Anolis sagrei: one gene and its partner. The protein of the gene in region 2 purifies or fractionates together with the protein of the main gene of each other region. This does not show direct contact. Links are inferred from orthologs where the notes say so. Each region holds a gene or a part of one and is shown on either strand. Other genes may lie near its edges. The genes, in order: TNFRSF13B and CAMLG.

Region 1 (15,407 bases), on a different chromosome or scaffold from region 2:
ACAGAGAAACTAGGCTCAAAATTTTCCCTATTGTCACTAATGGATCAAGTCCATTGGTGCAGTTTGGAATGCTCTTTGACGTTATTTTCTGTTGGTCATGGGGGTTCTGTGTGGGAAGTTTGGCCCAATTCCATCATTGGTGGAGTTCAGAATGCTCTTTGATTGTAAGTGAACTATAAATCCCAGCAACTACAACTCCCAAATGACAAAATCAATCGCCCCCCAACCCCACCAGTATTCAAATTTGGGTGTATCAGGTATTTGAGCCAAATTTCGTTCAGTGAATGAAAATACACCCTGTATATCGGATATTTACATTACTATTCATAACCGTAGCAAAATGATAGTTCTGAAGTAGCAACGAAAATAATGTTATGGTTGGGGGTCACCACAACATGAGGAACGGTATGTAAGGGGTCCCTAGTGGCACCCCGATTTTGGATTGCCTTTCCCATGAAGATGGGTACCAGCTCTGGATTCTTCCAAGTGCTCAATGTTCTCTCCCTAATTGAGTGACATATCAAGGAGAAGTTAGCCAATGGGTTTGATACTCAATGGAATGTGGTCTGGAAACCTCCGTCACTGGATACTTAATCAAGGGGTCATCTGCATACCCATGTTGTGGGAGTCCAAGTCCAAAAGACCTGGAGGGAAGGCCGAAGTTGGTTCACACGTTTGTCCTCTTGAGACTGGATACATAAGTCAACCAAGAGATCCTCTGCATACCCATGTTGTGGGAATCTGAGTCCAAAAGACCTAGAGGGAAGGCTGAAGTTGGTCCATGCCTTTGTCCTCTTGAGACTGGATACTTAAGTCAACCAAGGGGTCTTCTGTATACCCATGTTGTGGGAATCCAAGACCAAAATACCTGGAGGAAAGGTTGAAGTTGGCCCACGCCTTTGTCCTCTTGGGACTGGATACTTAAGTCAACCAATGGATCATCCAAAAGACCTGGAGGTAAGGCCGAAGTTGGCCCATGCCTTTGTCCTCTTGAGACTGGATACTTAAGTCATCCAAGGGATCTTCTGCATACCCATGTTGTGGGAATCTGAGTCCAAAACACCTGGAGGGAAGGCCGAAGTTGGTCCATGCCTTTGTCTTCTTGGGACTGGATACTTAAGTCAACCAAGGGATCATCTGCATACCCATGTTGTGGGAATCCAAGACCAAAAGACCTGGAGGAAAGGCTGAAGTTGGCCCATGCCTTTGTCTTCTTGGGACTGGATACTTAAGTCAACCAAGAGATCATCTGCATACCCATGTTGTGGGAATCTAAGTCCAAAAGACCTGGAAGAAAGACCAAAGTTGGCCCATGCCTTTGTCATCTTGAGACTGGATACTTAAGTCAACCAAGGGATCATCTACATACCCATGTTGTGGGAATCTGAGTCCAAAAGACCTGGAGGGAAGGCCGAAGTTGGCCCATGCCTTTGTCCTCTTGGGACTGGATACATAAGTCGACCAAGGGGTCATCTACAGAACCATGTTATGGGAATCTGAGTCCAAAAGACCTGGAGGGAAGGTCAAAGTTGGCCCACGCCTTTGTCCTCTTGGGACTGGATACTTAAGTCAACCAAGAGATTATCTGCATACCCATGTTGTGGGAATCTGAGTCCAAAAGACCTGGAAGAAAGACCAAAGTTGGCCCATGCCTTTGTCCTCTTGGGACTGGATACTTAAGTCAACCAAGAGATCATCTGCATACTTGAACATGACCCCCCCCCTCCCCCAATAAAAGATAGTAACTTATAGTTTTGCGAAGGACAAGGACACCAGACTGGATAATAAGGGTTAATTTGCCAAGACACTAACAACAACAACAAAGACCCTTCCCATGTTAGATACTGTGTACATTTAATCAAGGTTTTATGCCCTAGGTTTCATATATAGCAGAAGGTAACACATTAATTACTGAGAAACCACCTCCCTTTACACTTATGTACTCTCTTGAACTTCTATGGGACTCTGGGGGGTGGGATAAGTGGGTATGTTTTCTGCACCATGATTTCTATATTTCTCCCTGTAAAATGTATAAAAATATGAGAAGCCACCCTCTGTGACTCTGGAAAGGAGGAAATCCTCAGTTGAAAAGAACCTGATCAAAAGACACTTTTTGCATGGACAATAACAATGGATCGTGACCCTTGGGACTCGGAGTTGGCCCCCCCCAGTGGAGGCGGTAGCTTGGCATTGATGATCATATCTCAATAGGACAAAAGGGGCCTTCGGAAAGCCACACTTGGTCCTGATCTGTTATTCATTTAAATCTTCCTCTACCGAAACTTCAGCCATATTTCCTCATTGTTCCCATATCTCAGCACCAAAAAATCCAGATCTGGCAGCCTTGCCAGACATCAACGTTTATTGCCACCAATCAAAGACAATAGACTGGCCGGCTAGAAGGCCCCTGGACTTGCTAACCGCTTGGATATTCCATATCTCCATAAGCCCTTCAAGGATTCATTGTTTCCCTCTCGTCCCGCCTCCCTCTCTCCTGATTGGTCAGGAAGCCGAGGCGGCAGAAGCCCAGTGATTGGCCCAGGCGCTCAGGCGCTTAAGTCAACCAAGGGATCATCTGCATACCCATGTTGTGGGAATCTGAGTCCAAAAGACCTGGAGGGAAGGCCAAAGTTGGCCCATGCCTTTGTCCTCTTGAGACTGGATACTTAAGTCAACCAAGGGATCAACTGCATTCACACAATCGGTGAATGACAGCCAGTGTGATGCAATGTCTGGAACCATGACTTTGGAGACCAGGGTTTGCATCCCTGCTCAGCCACATAGTGATCCTGGGTGAGTCACACTCTCTCAGCCTTCAAGCAAGTCAATAGCAAAGCCTCTTCTGAACCAATTGTGCCAAGGAAACCCCAGGAGAAGTTCAGCTTAGGTCAGAAGATGACTTGAAGGCACAACAACAATCATGTGTTGCAAGGTGATACAGAAGAGAAACCTTCTTGGGGTTGGAGCGCTACATTTTCCACTCTCTCGTGGAACTTTCCACATGTTGTTTTTCTAGGGGGGGGGGGTTCTATTAGTAGTTGCAGGTGGCCTCAGGTTGAGGACCGGACGCAGGTGGAGGCTCGGAGCTGGGCGGACGGAGCACTGGACCCTTGCATTCCCAGTCATATCCCGTCCTCAACCCATTTTCCTCTAGACCAGTGTTTCTCAACCTTCCTCATGCTGCGACCCCTTAATACAGTTCCTCATGTTGTGGTGACCCCCAACCATCAAATTATTTTCGTTGCTACTTCATAATTGTAATTTTACTACTGTTATGAAACATAATGTAAATATCTGATCTGCAGGATGTATTTTCATTCACAGGACTAAACTTGGCACAAATACCCAATACACCCAAATTTGACTACTGGCAGGGTTGGAGGGGTTGATTTTGTCATTTGGGAATTGTAGTTGCAGAGATTTATAGTTCACCTACAATCAAATAGCATTCTGAACTCCGCCAATGATGAAATTGAACCAAACTTGGCACACAGAATTCCCATGACCAACGGAAAATACTGGAAGGATTTGATGGGCACTGACCTTGAGTTTGGGAGTTGTAGTTCACCTACCTCCAGAAACTCAAACAATGATGGATCTGGACCTAACTTGGCATGAATATTTAATATGTCCAAATGTAAACACTAGTGGAGTTTGGGGAAAATACACCTTGACATTTGGGAGTTGTAGTTACTGGGATTTATAGTTCACCTCCAATCAAAGAGCATTCTGAACCCCACAATGACAGAATTGGGGCAAACTTCCCACACAGAACCCCCATGACCAACAGAAAATACGTAAGGCCACCCAGTCCAATCCCTTCACCAGGGCAAAAAAACAGAAATGAATATCATGAAGCTTCATAGAATCATAGAATCAGAATCATAGAATCAGCACAAGGTGATTGGTTGGGCCATGCCTGAGAGGCTAGCTGAGCCTGGGAGTTTTGGCAACAGTTACATAGAATCCTAGAGTTGGAAGAGACCTCCTGGGCCATCCAGTCCAACCCCATTCTGCCAAGAAGCAGGAATATTGCATTCAAATCACCCCTGACAGATGGCCATCCAGCCTCTGCTTAAAAGCTTCCAAAGAAGGAGCCTCCACCACACTCACTCCGGGGCAGAGAGTTCCACTGCTGAACGGCTCTCACAGTCAGGAAGTTCTTCCTCATGTTCAGATGGAATCTCCTTTCTCCAAGAAGCAGGAAAATCACACTCAAAACCCCCCCGTCAGGTGGCCATCCAGCCTCTGTTAGGATTGGTTCTCTGTTCCTATATGGCTCTTCCCCTATTTGGATTTCTGTTGGGATTTATAGTTCACCTACAATCAAATAGCATTCTGAACTCCGCCAATGATGAAATTGAACCAAACTTGGCACACAGAACTCCCATGACCAACAGAAAATGCTGTTTTCTGATGGTCTTTGGCGACCCCTCTGACACCCCCTCGCGACCCCCACAGGGGTCCCGACCCCCAGGTTGAGAAACACTGCTCTAGAGAGATAGGAGGCCTCACCTTGGTATTATTATTATACTGACACAAAAACACAGTATGACGCAGCTAATGAGATCTATATATTGGATTTCGTTATTATTATTATTATTATTATTATTATTATTTCTTTCCTGCCTCAACTCACAGAAAGAACAGGTGGCTGGAAGTGGCATTTTGAACAAAAACAACAAGCAATTGCAAGATTCGCTCCCCGGCTCAATGGAAACCATTCACAGTTGCTCCATAGCAGCTATCTCAAGCCTATTATTATTATTATTATTATTATTATTATTATTATTATTGCATTTTATTGGCATTGATCTCATGTACATTTTGTTATATGCATTTTACTAGTGTTGTGTTGTATTTATTTTAACTTTATTTTACTTTAACTGCGTCTCGAGTTGCAAGGAGAGGCAAGTAACAAGTTGTTGTTGTTATTGTTGTTATATGATACACAACAAGATCAGTACACAGCAAACAAGATCACGAAGCTGGCTGTTATTTATTTATTTATTTATTTATTTATTCCCATTGACTGGAAAGGTAAGACCCAGAAGCTTTAGCTGGAGAACAGCCTGATCCTTCTTCTTTCCTTTTCTCCCCTTTCTCTTTCCCTTTCCTTCCTTCCCTTCTTTCCCTTTCTTTCTTTCTTTCTTTCTTTTTCTTCTTCCCTTCTTCTTCCCCTTTCCTCCCCTCCCCTTCTTTCCCTTCCCTTCCCTTCTTTCCCTTTCTTTCTTTCTTTCTTTCTTTCTTTCTTTCTTTCTCTTCTTCCCTTCTTCTTTCCCTTTCCTCCCCTCCCCTTCCCTCCCCTTCCCTCCCCTTCTTTCCCTTCTTTCCCTTCCTTCCTTCCTTCCTTCCTTCCTTCCTTCCTTCCTTCCTTCCTTCCTTCCTTTTTCCCTTTCTTTTCCTTCCCTTTCCTTCCTTCCCTTCTTTCCCTTTCTTTCTTTCTTTCTTTCTTTCTTTCTTTCTTTCTCTTCTTCCCTTCTTCTTTCCCTTTCCTCCCCTCCCCTTCTTTCCCTTCCTTATTTATTTATTTATTTTATTTATTTAGTACACTTGTATACCGCTAATATCTCAGCCTGTGCGGCGACTCATTGCGGTTTACAACATATTTAAAAATACAATATTCACTTTAAAAATATAAAATAAAATATAAAAATACATACATATACATACATAGTATTGGGCCACCAATACAGACCGGAACATCTCATAGTTAAAGTCGTAATCCAATTCGTTATCCTTGATTGCTAGTCCATGATCAAAACATCATCACATCGGAATTAGTTAAAAACTTGCTCGAACATCCAAGTTTTCAGTTTTTTCCGAAATGCCATTAGCGAGGTGGCTGATCTTATTTCAGTAGGGAGGGCATTCCAAAGCCGGGGGGCCACCACAGAAAAGGCCCTATCTCTCGTTCCCGCAAGCCGCACTTGTGAAGCAGGCGGGATGGAGAGAAGGGCTTCTCCTGAAGATCTTAGGGTCCTGGTGGGCTGATAGGCCGAGATACGTTCGGATAGGTATGTAGGGCCAGAACCGTTTAGGGCTTTAAAGGTCAAAGCCAGCACTTTGAATTGGGCTCGGTAGCTAATCGGTAGCCAGTGGAGCTGGTACAGCAGAGGAGTTGTATGCTCCCTGCGCCCTGCTCCTGTTAATACCATGGCTGCCGCCCGTTGGACTAATTGGAGCTTCCGGGCCGTCTTCAAAGGCAACCCCACGTAGAGAGCGTTGCAGTAATCAAGGCGGGATGTAACCAGAGCGTGGACTACCTTCCTTCCTTCCTTCCTTCCTTCCTTCCTTCCTTCCTTCCTTCCTTCCTTCCTTCCTTCCTTTTTCCCTTCTCCCTTTCTTTTCCTTCCCTTTCCTTCCTTCCCTCCTTTCCCTTTCTTTCTTTTTCTTCTTCCCTTCTTTCCCTTTCCTCCCCTCCCCTTCCCTCCCCTCCCCTTCCTTCCTTCCTTCCTTCCTTCCTTTTTCCCTTCTCCCTTTCTTTTCCTTCCCTTTCCTTCCTTCCCTTCCTTCCCTTTCTTTCTTTCTTTCTTTCTTTCTTTCTTTCTTTCTTTCTTTCTTCCTTCCTTCCTTCCTTCCTTCCTTCCTTCCTTCCTTCCTTCCTTCCTTCCTTTCTTTTTCCTTTCTTCCTTCCTTTCCCTTAATTCCCTTTCTTTCCTTCTTTCCTTTTCCCTTCTTCCTTTCCTTCCTTCCCTCCCTTTCCTTCTTTCCCTTTCTTTCTTCTTTCTTTTTCTTTCTTTCTTCCTTCCTTTCTTTTTCCTTTCTTCCTTCCTTTCACTGAATTCCCTTTCTTTCCTTCTTTCTTTTTCCCTTCTTCCTTTCCTTCCCTCCCTCCCTCCCTCCCTTCCCCTCCCTCCCTCCATCCCTCTCTTTCTTTCTTTCTTTCTTTCTTTCTTTCTTTCTTTCTTTCTTTCTTTCTCCCTTCTTTCCTTTCCTTTCATTCCCTTCCCTTCTCTCCCTTCTTTCCCTTTCTTTCTTTTTCTTTTCCCCTTCTTCTTTCCCTTCCCTTCTTTCTTTCCCTTTCTTTCTTTCTTTCTTTCTTTCTTTCTTTCACCCTTCCCTTAATTCCCTTCTTTTGCTTTCTTTCTTTTTCCCTTCTTCCTTCCCTTCCCTTTCTTTCTTTCTTTCTTTCTTTCTTTCTTTCTCTTTTTCTTTTCTCTTCTTCCTTCCCTTCCTTTCTTCCTTTCTTCCTTTCTTCCTTTCTTCCTTTCTTCCTTTCTTCCTTTCTTCCTTCCTTCCTTCCTTCCTTCCTTTTCCCTTTCTTCCTTCCCTTCCCATCCCTTCTTTCCCTTCCCTTCTTCCTTCCCTTCTTTCCCTTCCTTCCTTCCTTTCTGGTAGGCAGTTAGGAATGGTGGGAGTTGAAGTCCAAAACACCTGGAGGGCCCAAGTTGGCCTGTGCCGGCCATATATTCATTCATTCATTCATTCATTCATTCATTCATTCATTCACTATATTTCTATACTGCCATTCTCAGCCCGAGGGCGACTCATGGCGGTTTCGATGCCCACAATACTGTTGTTGTCGTCGTTGTCGTTGTCATCATCATCATCTTCTTCTTCTTCTTCTTCTCCTCCTCCTCCTCCTTCTTCTCCTCTTTCCTCCTTCTTCTCCTCCTCCTTCTCCTTCTCCTCCTCCTCCTTCTCCTCCTCCTCCTTCTTCTCCTCCTCCTCCTCCTTCTCCTCCTCCTTCTCCTCCTCCTTCTCCTCCTTCTCCTTCTCCTTCTCCTTCTCCTCCTCCTTCTTCTCCTTCTCCTTCTCCTCCTCCTCCTCCTTCTTCTCCTCCTCCTTCTTCTCCTCCTCCTCCTCCTTCTCCTCCTCCTTCTCCTCCTTCTCCTCCTTCTCCTTCTCCTCCTCCTTCTTCTCCTTCTCCTTCTCCTTCTCCTTCTCCTTCTTCCATGGCAAGGGTGGTCTCATTCCAACGGCGTATTCCTCTGCTCTTCTTTTCTCTTTCTGCAGGCCTTCCTTCCCAGGTCTCCCCGATGGGTCTCCAAGGGCGCACGCCATGTCCGAAGGGGCAGTTCTGGGACGCTCTCCTGGAGCGGTGCATGCCCTGCGGCCTCGCCTGCCACACGCGCAAGTTCCAAGGATGCGCCGACTTCTGCAGTGAGTGTCCGGGAAAGGTTTGCCAGGGTGCCAGTTGCTTCTGACCGACATCCAACTAGACCCAAAGCGGTGCCGCAGCCAAGGAAGTCGAGCGAATTGTCGCTTCGTTGAGGTTCTCCCAGGATAGAGCGTGATGTTGCAGAGGGCCACTTCACCTAGGTTCTCCCAGGAGGGACTTGGCTCTGGGTTTCCTCTGCTCTGCTCAGAGAAGAGGATGGTGCTCCTCTAGATATATACAAGTCAAGGATTGGCTGTCTGTCTGTCTGTTTGTACCACCAAGGCTGCTGCTAGGTGGAGTGGCCCTCTCTGATGCCACTGAAGTGGCTGTTGCAAGGTAGAGTGGCCCTTTGCAATGTCATAGGAGTAGTTGTTCCTAGATGGAGTGGCCCTCTCTATGATGTCACTTAAGTGACTATTGCTAGGGGAAGTGGCCCTCTGGGGTGTCATTGGAGTGGCTGTTGCTTAGGTGGAGTGGCCTTCTGTGGTGTCACTGGAGTGACTGTTTCTAGGTGAAGTAGCCCTCTGGGGTGTCACTGGAGTGGCTGTTGCTTAGGTGGAGTGGCCATCTGTGGTGTCACTTGAGTGGCTGTAGCTAGGTGGAGTGGCCCTTTGTGGTGTCACTGGAGTGGCTGTGGCTCGGTGGAGTGGCCCTTTGTGGTGTCACTGGAGTGACTGTAGCTAGGTGGAGTGGCCCTTTGTGGTGTCACTGGAGTGACTGTAGCTAGGTGAAGTAGCCCTCTGTGGTGTCACTGGAGTGACTGTTTCTAGGTGAAGTAGCCCTCTGGGGTGTCACTGGAGTGGCTGTTGCTTAGGTGGAGTGGCCATCTGTGGTGTCACTTGAGTGGCTGTAGCTAGGTGGAGTGGCCCTTTGTGGTGTCACTGGAGTGACTGTAGCTAGGTGGAGTGGCCCTTTGTGGTGTCACTGGAGTGACTGTTTCTAGGTGAAGTAGCCCTCTGTGGTGTCACTGGAGTGACTGTTTCTAGGTGAAGTAGCCCTCTGGGGTGTCACTGGAGTGGATGTTGCGTAGGTGAAGTAGCCTTTGTGATGTCACTGGAGTGGCTGTTGCTAGGTGGAGTGGCCCTTTGTGGTGTCACTGGAGTGGCTGTTGCTAGGTGAAGTAGCCTTCTGTGATGCCACTGGAGTGGCTGTTGCTATGTGGAGTGGTCCTCTGCAACATCACGGAAGTGGCTGTTGCTAGGTGAGATGGCCCCTGTGGTGTCACTGGAGTGGCTGTGGCTCGGTGGAGTGGCCCTCTGTGGTGTCACTGGAGTGACTGTTTCTAGGTGAAGTGACCCTCTGTGATGCCACTGGAGTGGCTGTTGCTATGTGGAGTGGTCCTCTGCAACATCATGGAAGTGGCTGTTGCTAGGTGAGATGGCCCTCTGTCCTGCCACTGGGGTGACTGCTATTAGGTGAATTGGCCATCAGTCATGTCATTGGAGTGGCTATTGTTAGATGAGGTGGCCATCTGTCATGCCACTGGGTGAAGTGGCCCTCTGTCATGTCACTGGAGTGGCTGTTACTGGGTGAAGTGGCCCTCTGTCATGCTGCTGGAGTAGCTGCTCTAGGTGACGTGCCCCCTGTCGTACGACTGGGTTGGTTGCTGCTGGGTGAAGTGGCCCTCTGTGATGTCACTGTGGCCCTCTGTCATGCCACTGGGGTGGCTGTTACTGGGTGAAGTGGCCCTGTGTCATGTCACTGGAGTGGCTGTTACTGGGTGAAGTGGCCCTGTGTCATGTCACTGGAGTGGCTGTTACTGGGTGAAGTGGCCCTCTGTCATGCCACTGGAGTAGCTGCTCTAGGTGACGTGACCCCGTGTCATATGACTGGGTTGGCTGCTGCTGGGTGAGGTGGCCCTCTGTGATGTCACTGTGGCCCTCTGACATGTCACTGGGGTGGCTGTTACTGGGTGAAGTGGCCCTGTGTCATGTCACTGGAGTGGCTGTTACTGGGTGAAGTGGCCCTGTGTCATGTCACTGGGGTGGCTGTTACTGGGTGAAGTGGCCCTGTGTCATGTCACTGGAGTGGCTGTTACTGGGTGAAGTGGCCCTGTGTCATGTCACTGGGGTGGCTGTTACTGGGTGAAGTGGCCCTGTGTCATGTCACTGGAGTGGCTGTTACTGGGTGAAGTGGCCCTGTGTCATGTCACTGGGGTGGCTGTTACTGGGTGAAGTGGCCCTGTGTCATGTCACTGGAGTGGCTGTTACTGGGTGAAGTGGCCCTGTGTCATGTCACTGGAGTGGCTGTTACTGGGTGAAGTGGCCCTGTGTCATGTCACTGGGGTGGCTGTTACTGGGTGAAGTGGCCCTGTGTCATGTCACTGGAGTGGCTGTTACTGGGTGAAGTGGCCCTGTGTCATGTCACTGGGGTGGCTGTTACTGGGTGAAGTGGCCCTGTGTCATGTCACTGGGGTGGCTGTTACTGGGTGAAGTGGCCCTGTGTCATGTCACTGGGGTGGCTGTTACTGGGTGAAGTGGCCCTGTGTCATGTCACTGGAGTGGCTGTTACTGGGTGAAGTGGCCCTGTGTCATGTCACTGGGGTGGCTGTTACTGGGTGAAGTGGCCCTGTGTCATGTCACTGGGGTGGCTGTTACTGGGTGAAGTGGCCCTGTGTCATGTCACTGGGGTGGCTGTTACTGGGTGAAGTGGCCCTGTGTCATGTTACTGGAGTGGCTGTTACTGGGTGAAGTGGCCCTGTGTCATGTCACTGGGGTGGCTGTTACTGGGTGAAGTGGCCCTGTGTCATGTCACTGGAGTGGCTGTTACTGGGTGAAGTGGCCCTGTGTCATGTCACTGGAGTGGCTGTTACTGGGTGAAGTGGCCCTGTGTCATGTCACTGGAGTGGCTGTTACTGGGTGAAGTGGCCCTGTGTCATGTCACTGGAGTGGCTGTTACTGGGTGAAGTGGCCCTGTGTCATGTCACTGGAGTGGCTGTTACTGGGTGAAGTGGCCCTGTGTCATGTCACTGGGGTGGCTGTTACTGGGTGAAGTGGCCCTGTGTCATGTCACTGGAGTGGCTGTTACTGGGTGAAGTGGCCCTGTGTCATGTCACTGGAGTGGCTGTTACTGGGTGAAGTGGCCCTCTGTCATGTCACTGGAGTGGCTGTTACTGGGTGAAGTGGCCCTCTGTCATGCCACTGGAGTGGCTGTTACTGGGTGAAGTGGCCCTGTGTCATGTCACTGGAGTGGCTGTTACTGGGTGAAGTGGCCCTGTGTCATGTCACTGGAGTGGCTGTTACTGGGTGAAGTGGCCCTGTGTCATGTCACTGGGGTGGCTGTTACTGGGTGAAGTGGCCCTGTGTCATGTCACTGGGGTGGCTGTTACTGGGTGAAGTGGCCCTGTGTCATGTCACTGGAGTGGCTGTTACTGGGTGAAGTGGCCCTGTGTCATGCCACTGGGGTGGCTGTTACTGGGTGAAGTGGCCCTGTGTCATGTCACTGGAGTGGCTGTTACTGGGTGAAGTGGCCCTGTGTCATGTCACTGGGGTGGCTGTTACTGGGTGAAGTGGCCCTGTGTCATGTCACTGGGGTGGCTGTTACTGGGTGAAGTGGCCCTGTGTCATGTCACTGGGGTGGCTGTTACTGGGTGAAGTGGCCCTGTGTCATGTCACTGGGGTGGCTGTTACTGGGTGAAGTGGCCCTGTGTCATGTCACTGGGGTGGCTGTTACTGGGTGAAGTGGCCCTGTGTCATGTCACTGGGGTGGCTGTTACTGGGTGAAGTGGCCCTGTGTCATGCCACTGGAGTGGCTGTTACTGGGTGAAGTGGCCTCCGTGATATCACCGGAATGGCTACTGGGCAAAGTGGCCATCTGTGATGTTGCTGGAGTCACTCTTGCTAGGTGAAGTGGCCACTTGTGATATCAATGGGAAAGAACGTTGACCTGTGTATGGGAGGAAGGGAAGAAGGAAGGAAAGAGACACGAGGAGAGCCATGGAGACATTGCGAGGTCTCGAGAGCTGGAGAAGGGAGGAAAGAGGGGAAGGAAAGAAAGAAAGAGAAAAAGGAGGAAGAGAAAGAAATGGAGAAGGAAGAGAAAGGAAAAGAAGAGAAAGAAAGAAGAGTAGGGAGGGAGAAGTAAGGAAAAGGAGGGAAGGAAGAATGAGAAAGAAGAGATGAAAGCAGGCATGGGCCAACTTTGGTCCTCCAGGTGTTTTGGACTCCAACTCCCACCATTCCTGGCCTCAGGCCCCTTCCTTTCCCCCCTCAGCCGCTTAAGCGGCTGAGGGGGGAAAGGAAGGGGCCTGAGGCCAGGAATGGTGGGAGTTGGAGTCCAAAACACCCAAAGGGCTGAAGGTAGTAGCTTGCAATGGCACAAACAAGCCAGGCCGGATGGCCATCGGATGCTCCAAGATACGATGAATGAAACTCGAGAAACTCAAGGATGCTGCTGTTCCCATGGCTACGTGGACTCTGTAACCACTGAGCTGCCGTCGAGTCCAAATGCCCTAAATTGAGCCTCTAGGGAACGAGAACGCTGACTCCTCTTTCCTTCCTCCTTCTCTTGATTTGAGTCCAACCCCACTTGTCTTTCTTTTCTAACTCCAGGCTCCATGGATTGCAGCAAGCGTCCGGGCTTCTACTACGACAAGCTCCTTCGAGGCTGCATCGATTGCTCCGGCGTTTGCGGGCAGCACCCCAAAGAGTGCGACCCATTCTGCCAAGGGGATCGGAACTCGCTCGGCATTCACCAAGTTGCAAAGCAGGGTGCGTCTCGATTCTCCAATAGGAAATACATGGGTTCCTCTGAGCATGGACAGAGAGCTTTTTGCATATCGCAAAGCAACTCTAGCATGGGAAGGGTAGTTAGGCCAGGCACAATTCTTCTAGGTCGTGCCCTTTTGCCAGGTTGCCTTTGGATCTGCCCACTCTGCTTCTGAGTCTATTCATGGACTTCCACCTTGACCATTCATGGTTTGGCCCTTGAGGAAGACCCTCATGGAGGACCATCCCATTGGGATTTCCGGGTTTAGCTGCCCAGAGGGATATTCTTACTCTTGCTGGAGGAACATTAAGAGGAGTGGTGGTTCTCATGAAGCTTTCCCTTGATTTAAGTCTACTGAGAAGGGGCTGATAGCCATGCAGTGAGTGGCTTTCACAGAGTTCATAATTGGATGATAGATGGGTGATGATTCCAGAGATCAGGCTTCGATCTCCTTCTCATCCATGGAAACCCATTGGACGGTCGTGGGTGAATCAAACACCCACCTCCACAGAATTCCGCAATAGGTTTTGCTTTAGGGTCAGGGGCGGCTCGTCCATTACGGGAAAAGGAAGTTTTTTGGTTCAGTCTTACAGTTTGGAAGCTCAGTTACAAGATGTAAGGTTTACTTGGGTACCCAAAAAGCAAATTGGAACTGGGAGTAAGGCCCCACGCCAGCCAGCCTAAAGACAGATTGCCCAGGGAAGGGTTGGAGGGTTTTCCTTGTAAAAGAAAGAAATAGTTCACAATTTCTTAACTTGAGGGCAAGTTAAGAATTTGTGTGTTTTGTTGAAGATTTAAGGAATAACAAAGAACTTTGTTAAACTTTCCAAGTTTCTAAAGACTTTGTTTAGGAAAATCCATAGGGCCTCTCAGCCGAGGCCCTCCGGCGTCCCGCTGGGCACAAAGAGCACATTCTGTTTTAAAAGACAATTGCTATTGCGTGTCAGCACAAGGCTGGTAAAGTGCAACTGCGGAGCAATAAATAAATGCCCCTCTGCTCTCTTTCTTCCGTCCCACCCTCAGATGCTCCTGCGACCTCCATGCCAGAGCCGTCCGCTCTGCAGGGTCCCCAGTGCCAGCTGTTTCCCATATGTGACCCGGGGATGTTCGTCTACATCGGCCTTGGGCTCTGCCTTTGCACGCTGCTCTTTGTGCTCTTGATGTGGGTTTACTTCCGAAAGCGAGGAGAGGAGGCGACTTGTCAAGCCGGCCCTGAGGCTCGCCACAAAAAGGGGGAACACCCAAAAGGTAAATAATATGCACTCAAGCTTTAGCACAGGTTCCAGAAATGGGGTTTAATTCCTCTCCGCTGTCTTTCGCTCAGCGCATGGCAGCGTGGTGCACATGTGCAGGCGAGGGAGAGCATGCAAGGCTGGAGGGAGGCTCTTACCATCGAGTCGCTTCAAAGCATGGGGTTTCTGTGAGGGAAGTTTGGCCCAATTCTATAATTGGTGAGGTTCAGAATACTCTTTGATTTTAGGTGGAACTACAACTTCCAACCTCAAGGTCAATGCCCACCAAACCCTTCCAATATTTTCTGTTGGTCATGGGAGTTCTGTGTGCCAAGTTTGGTTCAATTCCATCATTGGTGGAGTTCAGAATGCTCTTTGATTGTAGGTGAACTATAAATCCCAGCAACTACAACTCCCAAACGTCAGGGTCTGTTTTCCCCAAACTCCAACAGTGTTCACCTTTGGGCATATTGAATATTTGTGCCAAGTTTAGTCCAGTTCTATAATTGGCGAGGTTCAGAATACTTTTTGATTTTACATGGACTATAAATCCCAGCAACTACAACTCCCAAACGTCAGGGTCTGTTTTCCCCAAACTCCACCAGTGTTCACCTTTGGGCATATTGAATATTCGTGCCAAGTTTGGCCCAATTCTATAATTGGTGAGGTTCAGAATACTCTTTGATTGTAGGTGAACTATAAATCCCAGCAACTACAACTCCCAAATGTCAGGGTCTGTTTTCCCCAAACTCCACCAGTGTTCACATTTGGGCATATTGAGTATTCATGCCAAATTTGGTCCAGATCTATCATTGTTTGATTCCACAGTGCTCTCTGGATGCAGGCGAACTACAACTCCCAAACTAAAGGTCAATGCCCAACAAACCCTTCCAGTACTTTCTGTGGGTTATGGGAGTTCTGTATGCCAAGTTTGCTTCAATTCCATCATTGGTGGAGTTCAGAATGCTCTTTGATTGTAGGTTAACTATAAATCCCAGCAACTACAACTTCCAAATGTCTGGGTCTGTTTTCCCCAAACTCCACCAGTGTTCACATTTGGGCATATTGAATATTCGTGTCAAGTTTGGCCCAATTCTATAATTAGTGAGGTTCGGAATGCCCTTTGATTGTAGGTGAACTATAAATACCAGGAACTACAACTCCCAAATGTCAGGGTTTAACTACTATGGCTGGGCTTTTCAGTTTTCCACTCTCAAAAGGGCGCTGTGCCCTGAATCCCCACGGATACGGAGTGCTAAATGTATTTCATGCCGGGGTCACCACATTAGGAAGGTCGAGAAACACTGCTCTATCATAAGGTTTCCTGGGCAAGCGATATTCAAAGAGGTTTAACTACTATGGCT
Region 2 (14,976 bases):
AATGGTAGCATACCAATTTAGAAAGGTTACTCGGACAAAAGTCAAGAAAAAAAATCTGTTAGAACGGAGGCGTGCAACATGTTTCATACCAAGCTTTATTTGACTGCAGTTCTCAGTATGCCTTACAATCCTATGTGCTGAATAGGACTAATGACAGCTATAGTCCTACATCACCTGGAAGATCACACATTATTCATACCTGCTTTGGCATAATGAGAACTAGACCACAGTGGTCTACTTTTTAATTGAATCCTTTCTGATACAACACAGGACTCAATGAAAAATTAGACCAGCAGGGTCTGTGGTGAACCACTGCTTCTTTGTTGTTTTGCCCAGTAATGGCAACAGACAAGCACACCACTGGAACACATGAAAACAGAAAACAGCCCTCAGACAAGTAAAAAGACCAGTGATTACACAGTCATTTTCTTTAGTGTTATTAGTGTTATTTCTGTACCAGTCCTTGCTCTAGTATGACCTTTATCCTTGATCAAGTAAAGATCAAGTGAAAAATGTATTATTCTTTTCATGATGTACAACAATTGGGATTTACAGAAATGACTTAAAGATAACATGCTTGGGGAAAACTTCCTTATCTGAAATATATGTATATGAAGAACTCTAAACTAAAGGCAAGAAAAGGTTTGATGATGCTACCAACCACTCAACAGAAGCCTTGAGCAACATAAAGGTTTATTTAGAACTATACCACTGGTTTCAGTAGAAGCAGTTTCAAGTAATTCTGTCTGGTCTTGTTGTAAGACCCCATTCACAGTATGCCTTTTAAAGTCTGGATTGAACATGTTCTGTGCTACCCACCCATCCTATAAACTAAAATTCACAAAAAGCAACTATTTAACTTAGGACAAAGACTAATTTTTAACATACAAAGCCACCTTCTTCCTCAATTACAAATAAATACAAGAATTCCTAAAATGTCCAGGCCAATGAGGCCAAACCATGTATTCTTGGGAAGAAAAATGTAGGAAACATGATTCAAAATCCTGCATTGGTTTAAACAACAATGCATTAAAACAACAGTGATGGATAAAACTGCTGACATAGTTAGATACAAAGGTCTAATCACAGAGAGCAGTTTGTAATCTGCAGTATTCACTTAACACAGTAAAAATGCCATCAAGCCATGTAAACATAATTTATTAGGATTCCTATTTAGATGCAAAAATTAATGAATGCTCAGTGGGACCAATGGGATTTTATTACCTAGTTTTTAAGGTCTGGCATTCACGTTTCCAATCAACCCTTCCCAATTATAAAACAAACACATAACCTACGCCAAGCTTAATTCTGTTGCAGTAACAGGCAGCTTGAGAACTGACTTTTTGTCAGAATCGTTTAATGGCTAAAAATGTATGGAGATGTTTACAGCAATTTAACAGCATGAGTAGTCCCTCAGAAATTCCTCTGGATAGAATCAGAGCATGCTTTACATGAATATTAAGTCTGCTTCCTTTCTCAGAAGGAACCAAGATCCTGCAGGGATTTGGAAAGGAGGCCATTTTCACTGATTTCCTCTTTGCCCTGAATCTCCCCATAGCCCTTTTATGGTGTTCCAAAAGGTTCCCCCACCCCACAGGAGACCTTTCAGAGAGCACAGAGGGAAAGGAGAGTGGGTCAAAATGTTCTTCATCCTTTTTGCAACAGCAGCCAGGTCATAAGACATGTCATTCTGACAAGCACAAGACCTCAGCTATCCACGGTTTTTATACTAAAGAGCCAGAGGAAATGTTACAATAGAAGACGGTACCTTGAATAGGGTAAAAGGACAATATTCTAGAATAACAGAAAGGCCCTGCACTTGGAATGCTATTTGTATTCTGTAACTAAGACATCGTGCACTGTTTTTCAAACTATAGTAATTCTGCATCAGTGCTGGGACCATGCCCTTCCCTTCAGAAGTGTGCTTCCAAAGCACAGAAACAAGTATGAATGGGATAACCCTGTTTATATATCCAGAGACATGTACAAAAACCAAGATTGATGCAGTCCTGTTGAAGACACCACACCGACGTCCACATCCATCAGGGCACTTCTGAACCGAAAAACAGGAGCAGTTCATGGCAGAAGATGAAGGTAAAGAAATAGACACAAAGGTCAGTAAAAACATCCCCCATTTTGCTGTAAGTGTCCATGGAACGACTAATAACTTCTGCAGGGATACCAGAGAGTAAAAGAGCAGCTGTTAAAACTGTAGTCTTCGTCTTCTTTTCACTCTGTATAACAAAGAAGGGGAGGGGGGAAGGAAGAAAGATTATGTCCATATTTCATCTTTAAGCACATTATTAGACATTTAATGTGTTTACAGAATGTCTGTTCCTGGTATGCATGTCTCAATAGGCAAGCAATAACTTAAACTATAACAGATCCCTTATACTATGCTATTTATTATAATCTTGGCATTAAATTTAACCTATGATGGGCCTTCATGCTCCTAGTCTCTTCATGCTCCTATCCTTCTTTCAAAAGTAACTTAAGTCTCCTGGGAGTAAGATCCAGCTATAAACCACCCGACATCTTGCTTTAAAGAAAAACATTCTTTTTGCCATGGCACCACCAAATTTCAGCACAGTGTGAAATATACTGGAGGTTGTGCAGGCCCTTTGACCCTGGAAGTTTCCAATCTATGGTCTAAGGCCAGTTCTGCACAGACACTATGATCCAATGGATTTAAACAAATTAATTTTGCTGTGCAGTGCCTACACAAACACCCCAGGAACCGGTTTGAGGCTGGGATGGCAGCAACAATAGTCAGAGATTATTGGGTTGGAACTGACCCCAGGAATTGCAGTATCTGTGGCTAGACAGCCATTGAAAAACGTAGGTTTTTTCCCTCTTAACCGGTCTGCTGAGATGTGCTGATGCACATATCCACATCTGTTCAGAATCACCCCTGTTTCAGGTCCTGAATGGGATCTCATCAGCTGCCATGCATCCTCTGGCTTATTCTGAACTTTCTGATGAGTTTTTCTAACATGTTGTTTCTGGCTTGATTCATGCTATAGCATTTTTGTGGACATCCCACCATCAAGCCAGCCTCAGACTGCACTACAGTGTCTGTGCAGAAGCACCAAAAGTTCAAAGAAGGCAGAAACAATTACTGTAACAAAGCAAAATGGGGTATGATTGTTGACATCTAAGCATGAGCACCTCTAACAACTTATATTTTATTACACAGCAGAAATAAACTCCCAATGGGATTTACTCCCCAACAAATATATAGAGTACTAACTGGAAAGCTCTAATGTTATTGGCTAATACACTGTTTATTAATCTAAAAATATTCTAGAACAGGAATTCTTTGCTGCCATTTTAGTCAAATTGAGAATATTTTTGTCCTGAAAAAGTTCTTACCTTTGGGAAATACTTGGACAATCCCATATATGCAAGTTGTAAGGTAAGAAAGGGAGCAAATATTGACTGTGGAAAAAAATATTACATGAATTAGAAAGTACAGTAGTTACAATGAGGAGTTAAACTGATTAATACCTTTTAAAAATCTGTCTTTGTGTGAAGGAGTTCAGCCAATACACATTCTAGGCCAAGGCTTTTTAAAAAACGTCATGTATTCTGACTCTTTTGCTATCTGGCAACGCTTGGAGGCCTTGAAGGAATCGGTGATACTTTGACACAAGATACTCTAAGCCACACACTTTAGTATTATCCTTAAGAACTACCATTTAGAGCATGCAGCTGTGGAAGAGTGGACAAACTGGACTGAATTCTAATCTTCACTTAGCTATGAAATCACTTCTCAGCGTAAATACACAGAATGTTCTATAAAGATGACAGTAAGACAAACAAGTAAGAAGGGGAAATATTAAAAATACTGTATTTTTTCTGCTTACCAGATATTTGCACACAAAAGCTCTAACTCCAATGGCAAGTAGTGCACATCCAACTAATCTAAAAATGCGGAAAGAGTCAAATTCTTCCACTGCATTTCCATTTTCTTGGCTCGGCTTCTCACTCATGAGCTGGTTTCTGAGCTTCATGGCTTCATCAAATCTTGACAAGTACTGGTCTAAACCATGGCGAGGGGCTCGTTGAGGAGCCTCTATCAGATCCCCCCTGCTGCGCTGCCGGAGCTCACTTGTGCCATCATTACCAGCCTCGGGAGGTTTGTTAAATGCGTCCTTTTTCTCCACTATGCTGCCTGCATGGTCGGCTGTTCCTGCCAAGCTGCAGACAGTATCCCCAAGCACAATCCGCTTGGAAACAGGAGCTGGTAGAGGGCTTGGTTTTTCTGATTCAAGCTGAAGTTTAGATTCTGAATGGCTGTCTTCATCTGAAGAAGAGACAAAATGGAAAAAGGACACACAATACAGGTCAAATATTTTAGGCTGGGCTTTAAATCCTAAGAAATGAAGGTGCTGTGGGACTAAGGCTCAAATAAGAATGGCACACTGAATTGACGTCTATCTCTTGGCCTTTAAGCACTTTCAGAAAGGTAGTAAGAAGCATTCCAGTAATACTTCTTTCCAACGTAAGATTGTCTTTCAGCCAGCAAAGCTTTTCTGCCAGTGGAGAGAAAAAGGATATTTGCTGACTCATCCTCCCTTGGCAGTCCCTTGAAAATCTGTATCAATGGATCAGGGAAATTTCTAAGAAAGTTGGGTGTGGCACTTGGCACTGAACACAGAGCAGGGAATTCGAACTTCCCTGTTTCTGCAAGATCTCCACTTGGAGACATTCTTGCTTGAAGAAATAAAAATTCTGGAGTCTTTGCCCTTGTAAACCTGAGGCTATCAAAATGCTTCTTATCAAAGGAAATAACAGCACTTCCTTTACAGCTTTTGAAAGAACCCAAGGCCCACACATTCAGTGAATATTTTACAAACCTGGTCATACTACTTGTATTGTATTGCTGGTTTAATTTTCTTACTGCCTATTTAAAACTGCATTTTTAACTTGCCCTAATCAATGTTTTTGTGAACTTCCTTGGGAAAAATAACGAGGGACCGTTGAAATAACACTGCATTGTAACACCAAAAAAACAAACAAACAAACAATTAAGCCAGATTTATGGGAATACACAAATTACAGGAACACCTAAATTAGGCAGATGAAATTAGAGGGGAAGTAATGCAACCACAATGTTCTTTGAACAACACATGTTGCTATTTCTCAAATTACACTACAACATCTTCCTTCAAACTAATGCCCTTCAGAGAAATTAGACTGTAAATCCTATTACCTTCAGAAAGTGTAACTACATTAGATTGGGCAACGCTGCACTACTGAACAGAACTCTACTTTACTAGGGGAACTTGGCACTTTCAAGAAGACTGCAATCAAGCACCAGTCTAGCATCTTTTGCCTATTGGGTTTTTTGGGAAGGTAAAATAGCTACTAGTGATGCCCACAGGAAAAGTGGCAACAGGTCCCTGAAAACCTAAATGCCTGTTCTAAATAAAAAGGAGAGAGTAGGATAGTAAGAGTAATTTATTCCTCCCCCTGCCACAAGCCTGGCCTGCTTTTTAGGTTGCAAAAGCTTAACAAAACAACTTGAAAACGGTTTTCAATAAAGGCTTTTTTTTGTTAGTCTTCAGGTTATGCTAGTTTCTGTATACTTTGTGCACACATTTGTTCATTAAGCACCATCCTATCTACTAGGACTACTTTATGATCCGTAGTATGTATCTGGTTTGAGTGGTTATCAATCGACCAGTAGGCACTCTGAGTCCCTACTAGCTGTTATATGTGAATCTATGAATAAAGGGATCACAACTGATCCTTTCAACTACATCCAGCTATGGATGAAGCAAGTGATAAGTCCTCATGGGACTGAGGGTACACCCACACTCTAGAATTAATGCAGTTTGACATCACTTTAGCTGCTACAGCTGGATACTATGGAAACCTGGGATTGGTAGCTTAAATGGCTGAGGGAGAAAAGGAAGGGGCCTGAGACTGTTGTAGTTTTTTCAGGCTGTATGGCCATGCTCTAGAAGCATTCTCTCCTGATGTTTTGCCTGCATCTATCTATGGCAGTCATACTCAGTTTGTGAGAACTGAGGCTGTTAAGAAGTGTTGGAGTTGCAGTCCAAAACACCTGGAGGCCCCAAGTCTACCCATGCCTGTTATAGTATGTAGTTAGACCTATTTTAACAGGGACTCTCAAGCAACCACAGATTGGGTTGTTGTAGGTATTTCGGGTTATATGGCCATGTTCTAGAAGCATTCTCTCCTGACGTTTCCCCTGCATCTATCTATGGCAGTCACACTCAGAGGTTGTGAGAACTGAGGCTGTTAAGAAGTGTTGGAGTTGAAGTCCAAAACACCTGGAGGCCCCAAGTCTGCCCATGCCTAGCATAGTATGTAGTTAGACCTATTTAAACAGGGACTTTCAAGCAACCACAGACTAGGTTGTTGTGGGTTTTTCGGGCTATATGGCCATGTTCTTGAAGCATTCTCTCCTGACGTTTCCCCTGCATCTATGGCAAGCATCCTCACAACCTCTGAGGATGCTTGCTATAGAGGCAGGCCAAACGTCAGAAGAGAATGCTTCTAGAACATGGCCATACAGTCCGAAAAACCTACAACAACCCAGTGATTCCAGCCATGAAAGCCTTCGACAATACAACCAGATACCCTGCACTTTCCAATCCCCATGGGTGCCTGTTAACTGAGAGTCCGCTCGCTGTACGCCAGGCCTGGCTGGGAAGGAGGGCGAAGGCGCTCCCAAGCGGGGCCAGAGTCGCGGCAGGGCCCTGTTACCTTGGCAACGCTCACCCCCCCCCCCGGCCTGCCCGGGTCCCGCCCTTTCCTCACCTCCTTTCGGGCGGTGGAAGCCCATGATCCGGTTGATCCGCTCCTCCGAGTTCATGAGCAGCTTCCTCCGGCGGATCTCGGCCCGGCGCTGGGAGGCCGTGAGCCCCGCGGCCGAGGAGGAGGAGGAGGCGGCTGTGCCGGCCGCGTCGTGGTTGGGGCTTCCCCCGTCGCCGCCCAGAGGGCCCGGCTCCATCCTCGCCCGCAGCACGGCGCCTCAGGCCTCTCCTCCTCAGGCACACAATAGGACTCGCCAGGCCTCGCGCTGACACTCGCTCGCCAGTGCGCATGCGCCCCCGGCCGCCATTTCAAGTTCCGCCTCCAGAGCGGGAAGCGAGCGGCGACATCTTGGGTGAGGGCAGGAGCCCTTTGGGGCCTGGGAGTCGGCTCGAGACCTCAGCCCGCTGCCGGCAAGAGAGCGCCCTTAACAACGATGGCAGGAGTGACCTCGCTGGGAGGGCGCGTCTAAGCGAGGGAGGGAGTTGCCGCAAGAGGTGAGACGGCAGCGGGCGATGACTTCACCTGCGAGAGGGGGCGTGGTCACAGTGGTCTCCAAGCGGCGCTGTCCATTGGAGTGACGCAGAGGTGGTGGGCCGCTCTGTATCTTGAACTGCTTACAAATACACGCCGAGGTTGTATTATTCAACAACCTTGGGACCAGAAGTGCCGTGGCTTTTGGAATACACACGCAATGATAGATCTTGGGGATGGGACCCAGCTCCACACATTTGTTTCATATACACCTTATAGGCATCGCCTGGAGGCAGTTTTTTATATACAATTTTTAATAATTTTGAACATGAAACAATCCTCGTGTACGTTGAGCCATCAAAAAAAAACAAAAACCCAAAGCAACGTCAATGGGTTGCTGTAAGTTTTCCGGGCTGTACGGTCATGTTCCAGAAGCATTCTTTCCTGACTTTTCGCCCACATCTATGGCATGCATCCTCAGAGATTGTGAGGTTTGTTGGAAACTAGGCAAGTGAGATTTTTATATCTCTGGATTGCTCAGGGTGGGAGGAGGAACTCTTGTCTGCTTGAGGAAAGTGTGAATGTTGCAATTGGCCACTTTGATTAGCATTGAATGGCCTAGCAGCTTCAAGGTCTGGCTGCTTATTGCCAGGTATTGACAGTAGAATCATAGAGTTGGAAGAGTCCTCATGGGCCATCCAGCCCAACCCCCTGCCAAAAAGCAGGAATATTGCATTCAAAGCACCCCTGACAGATGGCCACCCAGCCTCTGTTTAAAAGCTTCCAAAGGAGCCTCCACCACACTCCAGGGCAGAGAGTTCCACTGCTGAACGGCTCTCACAGTCAGGAAGTTCTTCCTCATGTTCAGATGGAATCTCCTTTCTTGTAGTCTGAAGCCATTGTTCTGTGTCCTTGTCTCCAGAAAACAAGCTTGCTCCTTCCTCCCTGTGACTTCCTCTCACATATTTATACATGGCTATCATGTCTCCATCCTCCAGGAAATAAAGCCCGACTGCTCACTGGAGGGAAGGATACTAGAGACAAAGTTGAAGTATTTTGGCCACATCATGAGGAGACAGCAAAGCCTAGAGAAGACAATTATGCTGGGGAAAGTGGAAGGCAAAAGGAAGAGGGGCCGACCAAGGGCAAGATGGATGGATGGCATCCTTGAAGTGACTGGACTGACCTTGAAGGAGCTGGGGGTGGTGACGGCCGACGGAGCTCTGGCATGGGCTGGTCCATGAAGTCACGAAGAGTCAGAGACGACTGAACGAATGAACAACAACAGCATCATGTCTCCTCTCAGCCTTCTCTTCTTCAGGCTAAACATGCCCAGCTCTTTAAGCTGCTCCTCATAGGGCTTGTTCTCCAGACCCTTGATCATTTTAGTCGCCCTCCTCTGGGCACATTCCAGCTTGTCAATATTGCTCTTCAGTTATGGTGCCCAGAATTGGACACAATATTCCAAGTGTGGAGTACATCACATGATTACAAAAATATTAGGAGGGCATTATTTGGGCAATACAGAAAAAGATTTTTCTGTAATTTAAGATAACAGAATCTCCTTTCAGAGCTTTAACCTGGGGACAGAGAGGGTTCTCATTTCTCAGAAGCCCATACCCTTTTAGTGGCACATACTTGCCAGTAGACCCCTTACAGACCTTTTTTTAAGAGGGGAGGTGGTGCTTCTATTGGTTCCATCACCATCCTAGAGAGACCCAAAAAGTGTTTCAGTGGTTTCTCCAGGCTCCAAAACCCCCTTTCATAGCGTACACAAAGGGCACTTGCAGCATGATTCCCATGCAGTGGTTCCCAACCTTTGGTTCTCCAGGTGTTTTGGAGTTCAACTCTCAGATAGCCCAGCCTAAGTCCCTACTAGCTGTATATGTTAAACAATGAATAAAGGGATCACAACTGATTCTTGCTTGCAAACTTTGTGTTTTGTCTGTTTTGTTAAAAATGTAATACAAATGTCTGGTTGCTTCTGACACGATAAATAATAATAACTGATTCTTTCAACTACATCCACCAATGAAGCAAGTGATGACTCCTCATAGGACTGAGGGTACACCCACACTCTAGAATTAATGCAGTTTGACATCACATTAGCTGCCATGGCTCGATACTATGGAAACCTAGCATTTGTAGCTTAAATGGCTGAGAGGGAAAAGGAAAGAGCCTGAGGCTGTTAGGAATTGTCTGAATTGAAGTCCAAAACACCTGGAGGCCCCAAGTTTGCCCATGCCTGGTATAGTATGTAGTTAGGCCTATTTTTAACAGGGATTCTCAAGCAACCAGGTACTATTTACCCTGCACCTTCCAATCCCCATGAGTACCAGTTATTCAAATAGATAATTCTTGTTTTAATTCACAAAGTCAAAGGCTGTTTTGTATGATCTTGGGAAATATCTGCAGTTCAGCATCAGAGTTTGATTTTAATAACCAGATACATCTACTGTATATACCTTTATACCTCTATATTTCAGAAGTAAATCTTGTGGAATTCAGTGAGGCTTTCTACAATATTAGAAAAACTGGTAAATTTTAAACTGTTTCCAAAGACAAAAAATGCAGTAATATACAATATAAATCTGGCAGGTTGTTAATTTGATCATTCACAGACCCACTCCTTACCGTGCCTAAGACCATATTCAGATTCTCTGCAGCTTCCAGCTTTTTTATGTATAAAAAGGACTAATAAAGTTTATGTAAGCTCTTTCAATAATTTTATTGAGTAGCCAAATTTGATAAATTAGCACAGCTAAAATAAGCATTTGCATGTGTTACAAATGACTTTTTACAGGAATAAAACAGTGAAAATTACAAACTGTAAAAAGGGGAACAAGTAAAACCTTGCCTCCAGTTCAGAAGAGCATGGTTTACATTTTCACACTGAAAATCAATGTCGGAGTTCAGAAAACAAGGATTAATATTACAGTATCTTACACTACTTTACAAAATCAAATTGGAAGGATTTAATTGTTCACTCACAAACAGAAGTTTTGTCACATTTGATGGTCCCTTAACATTCTGGATCAGATTCTATATTCTGTTACGTGAATTCTGAATAAAAGGACATTGTATCCTCATTATTGCAAAACAGTCAAACTTGAGTCAGATGCAAATAATTAAATAAAAAAGTAAGTACTAATTAAAATGCTGATGCTTGACTGATTGAACATCTTGATCATCTTGAGTTATTCTTTAAAAATATTGAGTTAGAAAAATAGAGAACATTTGCTGTGGTGCTCCATGCAAAAATGGATGTATCAGGGCCACTCTTGCCTAGGATAGCTGTTAGAGACATTAAAATCAACTAATTTAAAGTACATCATAGGCAGTTTGACACATAAATATGCCTTGCAATTGCTGTTATTAAAATGTAAGTAAAAGCAATTGTGTTCCCTATTGTAAAGGAATAAAATCAAAAAATTCAGTACTGCAAAAACGAGTATGAATATTCCAAAAAGCATTTGATTCAGATAAGATGCAATTATTGTTGAAGAATCCCTCTAGGAGACTGTGGTAAGGGCTGTATTCTTGAAACATATTTCTTAGTTATCTCTTCAGTAGATTTGGTTCTTTAAAGCCCAATACACTGGCTTTCAAGAAGTTAAGCCATGTCTACCCCATTCCAAACTAAAAATGTCTGCAGATGGGAGAAAGTTGGACATAGAACTTCATATGAGAGTGCCCACTCCATCCCCTCCAGAATAAACCCTTCTCAAACCTGACAGCACTATTGGTAGTTTCAGCATTGTGTCTGTGCAGAAAGCACATATCCAATGAAAAGTGTAGGATGCACAGCATCACTTTTATGTAGACACTATATCTGAATGAAAAAAGTAATCTAGGCACGGAAGTCTGTATCTTTGAGTATATGACTCTTGGAAGATTGCTAGGACTGTGTTAGAACATTACTATTCAGGCTTAGGATGTATTGTGAGGCACCCAGTGGATGATTCTCCATTATGCATATGCTCCCAAAGCGGATTATCAATACTTCACATTAAATAACTAAAATAGAGCCTTAAAAAGCATGGCAGCAGCAAGAAAATACTTCAGTTTAGTAGAGTTCAACAGATATTTTAATCCTTTTTCAAGAGAGATTCCCCCTCCCCTCCGTAACATAAGAGTCGCAACTCCATAAGCAGTTTTGCATAGACCAGCCCGGATAAATTAGAAGGAAATGTTTTGAGTATTGTCAAGGCGTTATTATTCAAAATATTGGTTTATCAACATGGTTGTTTGTTCAGAGAACCTCGGTGACCTTTTGTACATGTATGTACCTATTTCTATAAGTGGGGAGACTTTAGTTAATCACTCCTAGTTTAACAGAAGGAATGTCCAAAAAAGATGTGAATGAAGTAATCTTTCCCAAACTCTATTTTTGAGCAGTAAGGGTCAAAGAAGATAACTATGGCAGTCACAAGTTACAGCACTGAAGAAAGATGTTGCTACCGCAAGTTACTTATTCAGATGTTCTAAATGTACTAATAGTATTTGTCATGATTTAACTCTCATTAGATTTCAGGGTATGAATAAAACTAACATTTATGCTATGTGCTTATAAATAAGCAAAATCTATAATTTTTGCCCATGAAGTAGGATTTTTTCAAAACTTTCTCCATTAAAGTCACAAAATAGTTCCCTCCTAACCTTTAAATGTCAAAATTCCTACTATTTAATTAGATGCCGCTTTGGATTTCCAACAAGTTATTTGATAGTGTTTCTAGTAAACTGTGAAATATTGTTTAGTTTCATCAGTAAACATTCTTTTACTAAAAATATTAACACATTATGAACATGTGACTTTAAATTTAATCAAACCTATAAAATGGCCATGGCATTTTGGTTGAAATCTCTGTTCCCCTATTTACTTTCAATGAATCAAGATTAAAGACACCATGTTAACATCCACATTTATAATTTTTGAAACTGAATCAGGCCACTTGATTATAAATCTCATTGGACGTAATGAAAACTTATTGTTCTTTTAGATACTAGAACACCGATGCATTCTATAGATTTTAAAATGAATAGTTTAATGTTGATTTTTAATCTTGTTGGACCACTGTAAGTTTGTTTCCCCCCGCTCATCATAATCATTGTTAAAAAGTTTTGTTAAAAAAATTCTAAATACTTTCTCTCTTTCACAACAAATGCTTTCATTGCTCCTTTAAAAAGGCAGTTTTCAACTACTGACATATATTCAAGACAGTATCATTTCCCTGCAATTCAGTTCTGGGAGGTTGTTATTCTAGCAGCAAAACAAAGCAGAAAAACAAAAATAAAGTTAAAACATATTTTGAACAAAAACATTATAAAGTTTCATCTTTTCAATATTACCTTTATCACTCATGCCAAAGCTTACGATGAAACATTGTGTAGCAAATTAAAGGCATCCAACATATCCAAAATGATTTTAATTGTTTAATGTACAACTGCACAATAGTATACTTATGATTCTGTGGTCCTTTATTTGCTTTGCCTTTTTTATTATTTTGGGGGGAAATCACAGTGAGATTCTTGTCAACTGCATCAGACCAAAATCTTTTTAGGAGCATCATGAATGCAAGTGTTCTGCACACAATTATTCTCCTTTGACTGGATGAGCCATATCACAGCAGGGTTCATTTATTCACTTGTTGCTGAATATGCAAAAGGAACTCATAGTATGATAAAGCAGATTCTGTTCTGTCTTCGATCATGTTTTGGAGAAAACTTGGTTTCCATGGACTTTCATCCCTTCAAAATAAAATCAAAAGAGAGTATGAGAATGCAGAACATCAATGTTTAATTATTCATTCCTCATACAGTATTTCAAAGATGTAGGATCTGTCAAAATGCATATCAATGGCCAAGGTGATGCATCATCATATGTAAACAGTGATGGATTCTGCCATCATAATGATGTTTGACAAAGCCCAACCCTTTCAGAACAGCGGAGCATCAGCTTGAAAGGTTGAGGCACTGCAAATGAGTGCATTGGGAAATGCCATCTGCAGCACTCTTCTTCTCACAAGGCAGATCAAAAACAGGCATCTGGAGTGACCTCTCAGGATCTTGCTTGTCTCAAGGTACCCCAAAATTGGGAAAGAGCTTCAGGTGTCATCTCCCAGCAATACAATTCGCAGTGCCTTAGAAACCCCTTGTTTGTGGTGCTGCCAAGCTGAAAATGGATTTTGAGGTCAGGTTCAAATGTTAACAAGCATAACCATGAATTCCTACCAGTTACACGATTCTAAGTTCACTTTACAATTTTTGTAACAATGCTAGTTTATGTAGTATTTAATCTGCAAAGAGAGAAACTGTAATAAGACAGCTCTTTGAACATAACCTGATGCATATATGGAATTCTCTTTATTCACACCAACATCAGGGACATCTCCATATGTGCAACTGAGCAGCATACAGAAAAATAACTTCCAATAATAAAATCAAAATCCTGTCTATGCAAGAATGTCATGTGTACTACTTAGTACTAGTAAATTGGTTCTTAAGCACTGGATCATCTCTTTCTCCATCTTTATAAGCCATCAAATATTCAGTCCTGCTACACTGCCCCCTTTCTTGTAACTAATACATTTGTATACATACTCTGTACCATAAAGCACGAGAAGTCTGCAACTAAGTTGGGAGGCAGCACTGCAACGTTTTCTCAATCTGCATGCTGAATAGTCCAAAATGGGGCTTACCTTAGTATGTACAATATAGAAAAGAATGGCCTTTGCTCCCTCAGCCATGAGATAAAAGCAAGCACTCTAGAAGATTCAGCTGTGTCAAGTTCTGGAAGATGTGTCTGTTGAGAGTAAAATGAAATTATATTATAGATGTATGTTCAGTTGGGAGCCCCTCCCCCCAACACCAAGTGCTGCTCTGGGACCAGAGTAAAGAGAGAGATCCAAGAAGATATTGTATTTATTTTATTTATTGTATTGTATATTACTTGTAAACCGCTTTGAGTCCCCCTCGGTATGAGAAAAGCGGTATACAAATATTGCAAATAATAAATAAATAAATAAATATTCAGTGCATGGAGCAGCACTACAACACTGATTTACATTCATCTCCTTGAACCTGCAAGATTTATGCCCTTCGTCCATTTGGGATCAGGGAGTGAAAAGGGACAAAACTCTTTTCCAATTGCATTTCTTCTGCTACTACACTGCTATTGTTCTTTTATACATTTAGATGTGTTGTGCTACACACCCTCAGAATTCCTTCAATTGTTCCTCAAGCCTACTCACAATAGAAAAACATCCTCCTAAATCGCCACAATGCTGCTAGAGAACAAGGAGACTGGATGGCCGGAAGTGAAGTTCACTTCAAGAACTGCCCCCTTTTTTCAATCCACATTAGTAATAAGCTATGTGCATACTTGAACACCAAAACCATGCGAAACAACTGCTGGTTTACCTAATGGTAAACCTTTACTGGAAGATACTATTGTTATTGTGCCTGTGCTTATTGTAATTTTTTACATTGTTATGTATGCATGTGTTTTATATTAATATAATGTTATTGTTCGCATTTTCGGTCTGTGTTTTGGTTTTTCTTTATTGTAATTGTTATCTGGGCTTGGCCTCGTGTAAGCTGCTCCGAGTCCCCATTGGGGAGATGGTGGCAGGGTATAAATAAAGATGATGATGATTATTATAGACTCATAAAAAGCATTTAAAGATCAGAACCAGAATGAGTAATGCCATGCATGAT

The links.
Region 1: the proteins of CAMLG (region 2) and TNFRSF13B purify together in Homo sapiens (affinity purification with western blotting; 3 studies listed by BioGRID and IntAct, with this or other methods). This does not show direct contact. The link is inferred for Anolis sagrei from reciprocal best matches to the Homo sapiens genes CAMLG and TNFRSF13B.

What each region holds. Positions count from the first base shown.
Region 1 is NC_090035.1:3,301,483-3,316,889, forward strand, and holds the start of TNFRSF13B (tumor necrosis factor receptor superfamily member 13B), read left to right. Parts: upstream 1-7,965; 5' UTR 7,966-7,982; coding exon 7,983-8,106; intron 8,107-12,654; coding exon 12,655-12,813; intron 12,814-13,834; coding exon 13,835-14,059; intron 14,060-15,407. UniProt on the Homo sapiens protein: Receptor for TNFSF13/APRIL and TNFSF13B/TALL1/BAFF/BLYS that binds both ligands with similar high affinity. Mediates calcineurin-dependent activation of NF-AT, as well as activation of NF-kappa-B and AP-1.
Region 2 is NC_090022.1:91,481,404-91,496,379, forward strand, and holds the start of CAMLG (guided entry of tail-anchored proteins factor CAMLG), read right to left. Parts: upstream 7,070-14,976; 5' UTR 6,986-7,069; coding exon 6,793-6,985; intron 4,307-6,792; coding exon 3,867-4,306; intron 3,439-3,866; coding exon 3,373-3,438; intron 2,235-3,372; coding exon 2,043-2,234; 3' UTR 1-2,042. Other genes in the region: protein transport protein Sec24A, read right to left, coding at 12,894-13,008, 13,959-14,062. UniProt on the Homo sapiens protein: Required for the post-translational delivery of tail-anchored (TA) proteins to the endoplasmic reticulum.